Coturnix japonica: one gene and its partner. The protein of the gene in region 2 interacts with the protein of the main gene of each other region in a pairwise test. Links are inferred from orthologs where the notes say so. Each region holds a gene or a part of one and is shown on either strand. Other genes may lie near its edges.

Region 1 (4,161 bases), on a different chromosome or scaffold from region 2:
CAATGGTTTCCAGCAGACCAAAGGCTTCCATATGGGTGAGTTTTTACTGTAAATAACCTTTTGGGTATTTACATCTACCATCTTTTCATTATTTTCACTGTACATTGGCTAAGGAGGTTAAAGAGCTAGACGGAGCATCTGACAAGGAGACGTTGAGCAGGTGGGCTTGTTTCATTTTGATAAGGGACATCTGAGGAGGATCTAAGTTCTGCTCTGTTACCCCAATCCTCTAAAAAACATTTTTTTTTTTTCCCCAAAGATTTTCATTTTATCAAAGAGAACTAATTGAAAACTTGGTTGAATGCAATGAAATGTGAATAACTTGAATTATCTATTAAAAAAAAAAAAAAGAGAGGCTAAGACTCTACTTAAACTGTACTTCTTAAAACAGTCATGACACCCCAAAACATTCACAAATACAAACTGAATTTTCATTGAGAAAAGATGTATCACTATATTTATTCAAGAATACAAAATATATGGCAAATAGCTTTTATGTTACTATCAGAGGATAGCAAAGAATTTACCTGATTGTAGTTGTTGACATGTCTTTCCCAACAAAAAAATTGTGTTTTCCCTCTGAGATCTGCTGGGCCCATGGTGGGTGAAGCCACACTACTTGAGAAATATGGCCAGCATAAACAGCAGGCATAATCCAGTTTTCAATACTCAGCTCACTGTAATGATGAGAGAAAGACTGGTAATAACACTTACTTTACCAGCATGTAAAACATTGTCAAGAACAGCAAAAACACCCTCCATAACTTGAAAGCCCCCTATGCAAATAATCTGAAGTTATTACTCTGTGTACAGATCATATCACCAAAGCAAAGAAAAGGGACTGAATTCCTGATTTGTAAGAACCAAAAATGTCTGTAATAAAATTTAAAAAAAAAAATAATAATCAATAGGATTATGAAGTGCAGTCAGCTTTACTCTTAGTACAGTACTTTATTAACTACATGGACTTCTTGTCTTTTTCTCTGAACATATGTGACAGAGTAGAAGTACAAGGTGCATCATGAACTCCATTCTACATAATTGACCTCAAGTTATTGTACGCTTCTCTAAGTAGGCTTAATATATAACTTCAGTAGTGAATGTGAGTCAATCAGCACCAACAGAGTAGCATCTGTACTTATTATCCTATTTCTTCATGTATACGATGCAGCCTACAAGGCTTTTCATTCATCCAGCAAAGAAAACTAAATATGGACCATGGGCAGGGTGACACAATTGTTAATATATCAATTATCTTCTCTTGTCACTGCTCTGTACCAGTGTAACACAGGAACAATCAATACTTATTTTAAGACAAGAAATAATAGACAAAAACAGATCACCCTGTGTCTTCTTGCCTACCTAAGAAGACAGGGATAAACATTGGTCTTAATTATCACACTCAACTTCACAGATGCACCATGTCAGCATAAGAGATGTTATTTTAATCTCAGTCAATTTGTCACCATTAACAGAAAAGCCGTTTTAAAATCTCCAGCTCACTGAAAAGCACCCATCTGGAGTACTGTCCTGTCACTCAGAGGAACTCCCCAGTCTGATAATGTGAACTAGAAGTGAATTCCTAAGTCTTACATCTTCTTAATATGTAACATAATCATTTGACCACATTCATAAAAGAAACATAGCTACTTCTTCTATCCAAAGCTATTAAGTTTCATAAAAAAATTAAAGAAAATACAACATGAGTCTGATTTATGCATCTGTTGCTCATATTTCATACACAGTCGTATCAATATTTGATATAAACCAAACACTGCAAGAAGTGGACACTTTATCCTGATGCAGTACATAAGGCTTACTTAAAAAGTGCTTCTTTATCAAACACAGTATCTGCAGGCATATTCACAGGGATAAGGAGGTCTGGATGGGAATCAAGGTGAACAAAGCTGATGTTACTTGCAGGCAGATGCTTTGAACCAATGGCACGGTAGATGAAAGGCAGCACCTAAAAGAGCACAAGCAAAACATTTCCACTGTAAGCAGTGAAATCACAAACGCAATTGGTATAGCAGCAGAAACACCAGTCCCACTCAAGCTCCATTAGAATTTGGGTTGTATGTTGGAAGAGGAAGGAGGAGACAGAAAACAGTAAAGAAGGGCAGCAATTTTAGTTCATGAGGCACAATCACTGAGCCCTGGAGCTCTACGCATGTGAAGGTGCCAGATTATACTTCTACTTCCTTTCCTTCTTTACAAGGCACTGTGATTGCAGCAACTCTTCTCACCTATCATTCAGCTCCATGGCTAGGGACTTGCTGTTGTTGGGTTTTATCACAGAATCATAGAATGGGTTGGCCTGGAAGGGACCTCAAAGCCCACCCAGCTCCATCCTATGGTCAGGGCTGCCATCACCAGCTCAGGCTGCCCAGGGCCCCATCTAGCTTGGCCTTAAGCACCTCCAGTGATGGGGCACCACAGCTTCTCTGAGCAGCTGTGCCAGGGCCTCACTGTCCTCTGAGTGAAGAACATTGAATAACAGATAATTTAACCCATCCACCTACAAAGAAGGGGTTTAACTCCTGATGCCCACATGACTTGACTGGATCTACTTGCGAGCTGACTGCACAGCCACCACCTCCCCCCCGCAAGCCCTGTGTTCCGCCTAACGCCGCCACTCACATCTTGATGGTCCTCCACCACCCACACCGGCAGCGCCGGGTATGTCCTCAACCCGCCCCCGCGAGGCCGGGACCCGCAGGCCGCCTCCGCGCCGCTCATGCCGGACGAGGCGGCGCTTCCTGCAGCAGAGTGCCCGCCCCACGCTTTCCTCTTCCGGAGCAGCGGGTGGGTTGGATGTCGCCGTGTGGCGGTAGGTGGGATGGGTTGTGTGCCGGGGGTCTGAGTGAGGGCGGTGGGCTCGGAGAGCGGGATGTGTGCTCTGAGATCGGGTGTTTTGGTGCTGGGATGCTCTGCTGTCTGTGAGCCTGGGGGAGGAAGCGGTTGCGATTTGGTGCTCTGTGTGGTAGGAGGAAAGGGGATATAGCTGTTATTCTGGCTATTAGGAAGTACTAGAACCGAAATGTCTTTCTGGCGGTCCGGGGGGACCTCACTGTGGCTTTCCAATGTTTGAAGGGATTGTACAAACAGGTGAGGGAACGGCTGTTTACGAGGGTGGATCGCGATAGGACAAGGGGGAATGCTGCTAAACTGAGACAGGGGAGGTTTAGGTTAGATATTAAGAGGAATTTTTTCACGCAGAGGGTGGTGATGCACTGGAACAGGTTGCCCAGGGAGGCTGTGGATGCCCCATCCCTGGAGGCATCCAGGGTTAAGTTGGATGTGGCTCTGGGCAGCCTGGTCTGGTGGTTGGTGACCCTGCACATAGCAGGGGGTTGAAACGAGATGATCATTGTGGCCCTTTTAAACCCAGGCCATTCTATGAGCTGTGGGTTTTCTTTAGAGCCTTTCTAGAAGTGAGGGTGCTGGAGAGGCAATGCTGACTGGTGATATAGGGTATCTGAAGGCTTTATATTGACGTATCTAGTACATATTAGTGGAGCTACTTGCAACTATAGCCTGTCCTTGCAGTCACCTGTTAAAATTAACTGTCCTAAATCAGAGAGCATGGTCCAGTTGCAGTGCTGGTTTAAAGACTACTGGTAAACTACTATAGTGGATTAAAGACTTAAAGAAATCAAAGGGCTGTAATGATCTGTATTAGAGCTCTGAGAAGTGCACAGCTCCCACTGAAAGACTGCCATCTTCCACTGCTCCTATTAAAGGAAATGACAGAAACTAATTTCAGTATTTCAGGAATTGTTTTTTGCAAATATACTGAGGTCCTTCTACTAAGTTTTGTGACAATGATTTTCTATATTTTCCTCATTAAAAGTGAACCATGTCTTTCCATTCTGGACGAGGATGTCCCCGTGGGCAGGGGGGACCAGGAGCAAGAACTTCAGCACAGGCTTATCGTCCTCAGAACCTGCGGCAGCTTCACCCCCAGCAGCCCTCTGTACAGTACCAGTATGACCAGCAAGCCACACCTTCAGCTACTTATTCAAACCCTTCAGCCACTAGTTACATGCCTCCCAGGCCAGACTTTGTTCCATATCCCCCACCAGTTCCCCCTTCAACACAAAATCCCATCAACCAGTGTCCTATGAGGCCACCATTTCCAAACCATCAGATGAGGCAGAG
Region 2 (4,087 bases):
GAAGCAGGGCACAAAATGAATAACCTAAAAATACAGTTTCTATTCACCTTTTGATTGATTCTTGGTCCTGCTGGGCCTAGTGGAAGGATGTCTTCCATGCAAAACCAGGTGCCTGAGATGTCCTCATGTCCATAAGATGCTGAAGTTGCTGGAGCCCAGCAGGCCGGAGCCTTTCCTACAGCTTAAGGGGCAGAGAAGGCTGTGAGCCCACAGAAGCCTGGTCAGAACCCCAGGGAGCTGACCTCATAGTGGTGCATAGCACCTCCCAGCCCCACGAGGCAGTTCTGAGGTTAAAATAACCCAACGCCTTCCTTTCCACAACTCCATGAAGAAAAAATATCCGTGGGACTTGCTGATTTCACTGACAGTTGTTATTAGACTTTTCTAATAGTCAGTAGATGTTCATGAGAGAAAGCAGTTGTGGCCACCATGGTAACGCATTGCCCTGAGCCCAGTATTCATAGAATCACAAGGTTGGAAAGGACCTATAAGATCATCTAGTCCAACCGTCCTCCCTTTACCATACCTACAGAAAACCATGAAACCATATCTCCTAGCTCTCCCTGTTCAGATGCCTCTTGAACGCTGCCAGAGATGGCGACTCCACCACCTCCCTGGGCAGCCATTCCAGTGCCTGACCACTCTCTGAGAGAAAAAATTCCTTCTTATGTCCAGTCTAAACCTCATCTGATACAACTTGTGGCCATTCCCTCGGGTCCTGTCGCCACAGGGAGGGACCCAACCTGTGTGAGGAGCAGGCACGGCATGTGTTTGATGCACACGGTGGAGGTGCTCCCATCACACCACTCATGTATTCCCTCCCTGCTCAACGTGTGGGCACAGAATGAAGAATTAAATCTGTATAATACACATGCTCCAAAATAAGCAGAACTCCATTGCTAAGCAACCAATGGCCTCATTTGGCTGCTGAAGCTGTCAGCAAAATCATCTTTACCCTGCTTCTTTCTACCATAGGATTTAAATTAAATCCATTTATTTCTCTCAGAGTCCATTAAACAGTGAAAAAGTCTCACAACAATGCAGATTTTTCAAGGCTTTATTTCCCAATCCCCACAATCCGCCGCCATCCCGGCAGCCTCCGCGCGTACCAGAACGGCAACGGGATCATAGATCTCAAAGCTGCTCTGAGAGGCACTGGGCCGCACTCGTGCTTTACGACAATCGTGCTTTACGGCGCTCGTGCTTTACAGCGGCGCGCTACTCCGTCCCGGTTCAAGATGGCGGCGCGGCAGCGGCGGGCAGCGCGGTGGTGGTAGAGGCCGCGGCGGCGGTGGGAGGGAGCTGAGCCACCCCCGCCCCGCCTTGCCCCACCGGGCCGAGTGGTGAGAGGAAAGGGATGGGGCTGGGCTGGGGGAAGGGAAAGAAAGCGGGGGGTGGAAGGCGGTTGGCGCGGCCGCCTTCTTCCTTTCCCCCAGCATCCCTCGAGGGAGGAGGGGAGGCCTTCGTGTACTTCGATGGGAGACTTTCTGCCTCGCTTCCCAGTGCTCACAAAGCACTCGTTGGGGTGCTTGATTTTCTCCTCCTCCTACAGCGATTATCTTGTGTGGACCCTCCTTTTTACCCTAAAAGAATTTGGGATCGAGGTTTGAGAACGTTATTCTCTTTGAGAAAGGCAGTGCCTCTGATTGTATTTCTGCAGTTGGCTGTAAGTTAAAGAAATGCCCGAAGGCAGGAAAGAACCCTTCATTAGAATAGTCTTTCCTTACTGATCATTGTGATGTGGCTTGAAACAGATTGAGATGGCATAAGGGCAGTGGTGTGTGATGAGAAAAAGAATGTGTACAGAGTGGTTTTTGATGGATGGGGTAGTTGGTGGTTGGTAGGGAAGAAGTCAAGGGCATCCTAGAAGTCTGGGCAAAGAAGGATATTTACGGGAAACATTTGCAATAGAGATGTTTTATGTCATTAAGTGGAAAGCTAGAAAGGCTCTTCCATGCTTATGTTATGGAGGGATACGATAACAGTTAAAATAACGCATTTTATTTTTCTAAAAGCAAGAAGCTTTCAGGTTTAAGTCTTGAGGTGAAGAACAAGCTGATTTGTTTAAAGTATGCACTTCAACTGCTTACTTGCAACTGCTTTATAAGTGATACTTAGTAAAAATAAGATGGTTTTGATGTGAATGCCCAAACTTGTATTCTGAGATCCTCCAATCCTGTATTTGAGGTTTTCTTTTGTTCGATTGTTTGTCAACCTACTACTACAAAGAGGATGAACAAGCACACGAGTCCTGCTTATGTATAGAACCTGAAATTATGGTTATCTTTTCCAGGTCTTTTTCAGTTCTTTTATTTTGAAGCAGAAGAAAAAAAGTCAAAATGGGGCGGAGATCTACATCATCCACCAAGAGTGGGAAATTCATGAATCCCACAGACCAAGCTCGTAAGTACCCATAGAAGTTAAGCAAAAGGAAATGGGGAGTCCCAGGCAAGCAGATAAAAATCTTCCTCTGAGGGGAAGATCATCACTTCTGACTGAGAACTGACTTTCCCAAACCCAAAAAGTACTGTCTCCATTTTGGCTGGTGTAGAAACTTGCCAAGAAGCTACTGGTTTGCATACCATTGCTGCTTCACACTGTTTGTCCCTTAATTCTTACTCTAATTGTCACTGGCAATTTCTAACTATAGAAACAGTTAAGTTTCTATACTTAACTGTTGGCTGTCCTGCTTCTTGAGGTGTAGGTAATCTATCTGAGGCTAGAATTTGTGGAATGGTCACATTTTGCCAAGGCTCAGGTTACTGGAGGGAGTTGTCTGACCTTGTTTTCCTTTTTGTAATGTACTGCATTTTCAGTGCTACACAGAAACAGAAAGCCCAGGCTTCTGCTGTGAGCGTGCTTTGTTTCAGATGTGTATTCAAAACCTGCATATTTTTAAAGGGCATTGTTTCTTGTTGGCACTATATCTCAGCGGCAGTCTTTTACATTGCATGCATCACTGTGCCTTTTTTTGTCTATTGTTCTTTTCTGTATAAAAACATCGCTGTTTCTAGAGGCCTAAATACTTCTGTATTGCATTTTCTTTCTATATAACACCTATGAAACAGATTTCTATTTCATGCTGTATTTGTCTATCAACAGGAAGATAAGTTTTAAAGTTTCCTTTTGTTTAATGAAATATGAAAAATGAATGAGCTGTTAAAAAATAGCACTTGTTAAAATGGAGGAAAAGTTGTTTGTGAGTTTGATCCGCTCTTTCAAATTGTTTTTTTTTTTCTCTTCTTTTTTCTTCCCTCTCTCTAGGAAAGGAAGCTCGGAAAAGGGAACTAAAAAAGGTACATAAAGAGATCTGGAGCATTTACTTGGCATTTCCTGTGCTATGTGTTATATTTGTGATTATAAAAGACCATGAGTGGTGAATAGACTACTGTTTCAGTTGATCTTGTAAAATTTAGTTAGGGATATACTGTCCAAGCAGTTAAGAAAACACAGAAATCTGGATTTGAATCAAAACGACCTTTATGTATTTGTTGGTGTGATTCATTGTGTTGCTTTTGCCTTTTGGCTTATTTTACTGATTGTGTCTTCATTGGAATGTATGAGTTATAGAAGCATCTGTAAATAGTGAGATAGTGGAATTGCAGCTCCTAGAAGTTCAAAACATCTCTGCTGCTGATTTGTGCTGTGGTTAATATCTGCAAGGCATCTGGAGATGTCTTTTTTTCCCCCCTGTAGATTGGGAGTGTTGAAAAAGAATTATTTGATACAAAGATTTTTCTTTCTCCTGTGTCTCTTTTCTGATCTCCTTGATTTTTGATCCTCTTAGAACAAAAAGCAACGAATGATGGTACGAGCGGCTGTACTGAAGATGAAAGACCCAAAGCAGATCATCCGGGACATGGAAAAATTGGATGAGATGGGTGAGTAAGGGAGGTATTGGGTGTTGGAGATAGTAGTCAAACACTGAGTAATGATTATATTAGTGACTTTTGGTCTTAACATTGCAGACTTACTGGAAATACGAACTGCAAGTGGTTTGGTTTGAAGTTGTTTCGTTAATTTTAATTGTAAAGTAGAGTAACTTTTGAGTTTTTGGCTTGCTTTTGCTGTCTTCGATTAGAGTTTA

The links. The genes of interacting proteins can lie anywhere in the genome.
Region 1: the proteins of WBP11 (region 2) and C2H5orf22 interact in binary tests that used the Homo sapiens proteins (3 or more experiments, as listed by UniProt). The two-hybrid records come from large-scale screens. The link is inferred for Coturnix japonica from reciprocal best matches to the Homo sapiens genes WBP11 and C5orf22.

The regions. Positions count from the first base shown.
Region 1 is NC_029517.1:60,566,420-60,570,580, reverse strand, and holds the start of C2H5orf22 (UPF0489 protein C5orf22 homolog), read right to left. Parts: upstream 2,823-4,161; 5' UTR 2,740-2,822; coding exon 2,641-2,739; intron 1,967-2,640; coding exon 1,821-1,966; intron 678-1,820; coding exon 528-677; intron 1-527. Other genes in the region: DROSHA (ribonuclease 3), read left to right, coding at 3,860-4,161.
Region 2 is NC_029516.1:43,743,268-43,747,354, forward strand, and holds the start of WBP11 (WW domain-binding protein 11), read left to right. Parts: upstream 1-1,222; 5' UTR 1,223-1,343; intron 1,344-2,293; 5' UTR 2,294-2,339; coding exon 2,340-2,403; intron 2,404-3,264; coding exon 3,265-3,296; intron 3,297-3,787; coding exon 3,788-3,881; intron 3,882-4,081; coding exon 4,082-4,087. UniProt on the Homo sapiens protein: Activates pre-mRNA splicing. May inhibit PP1 phosphatase activity.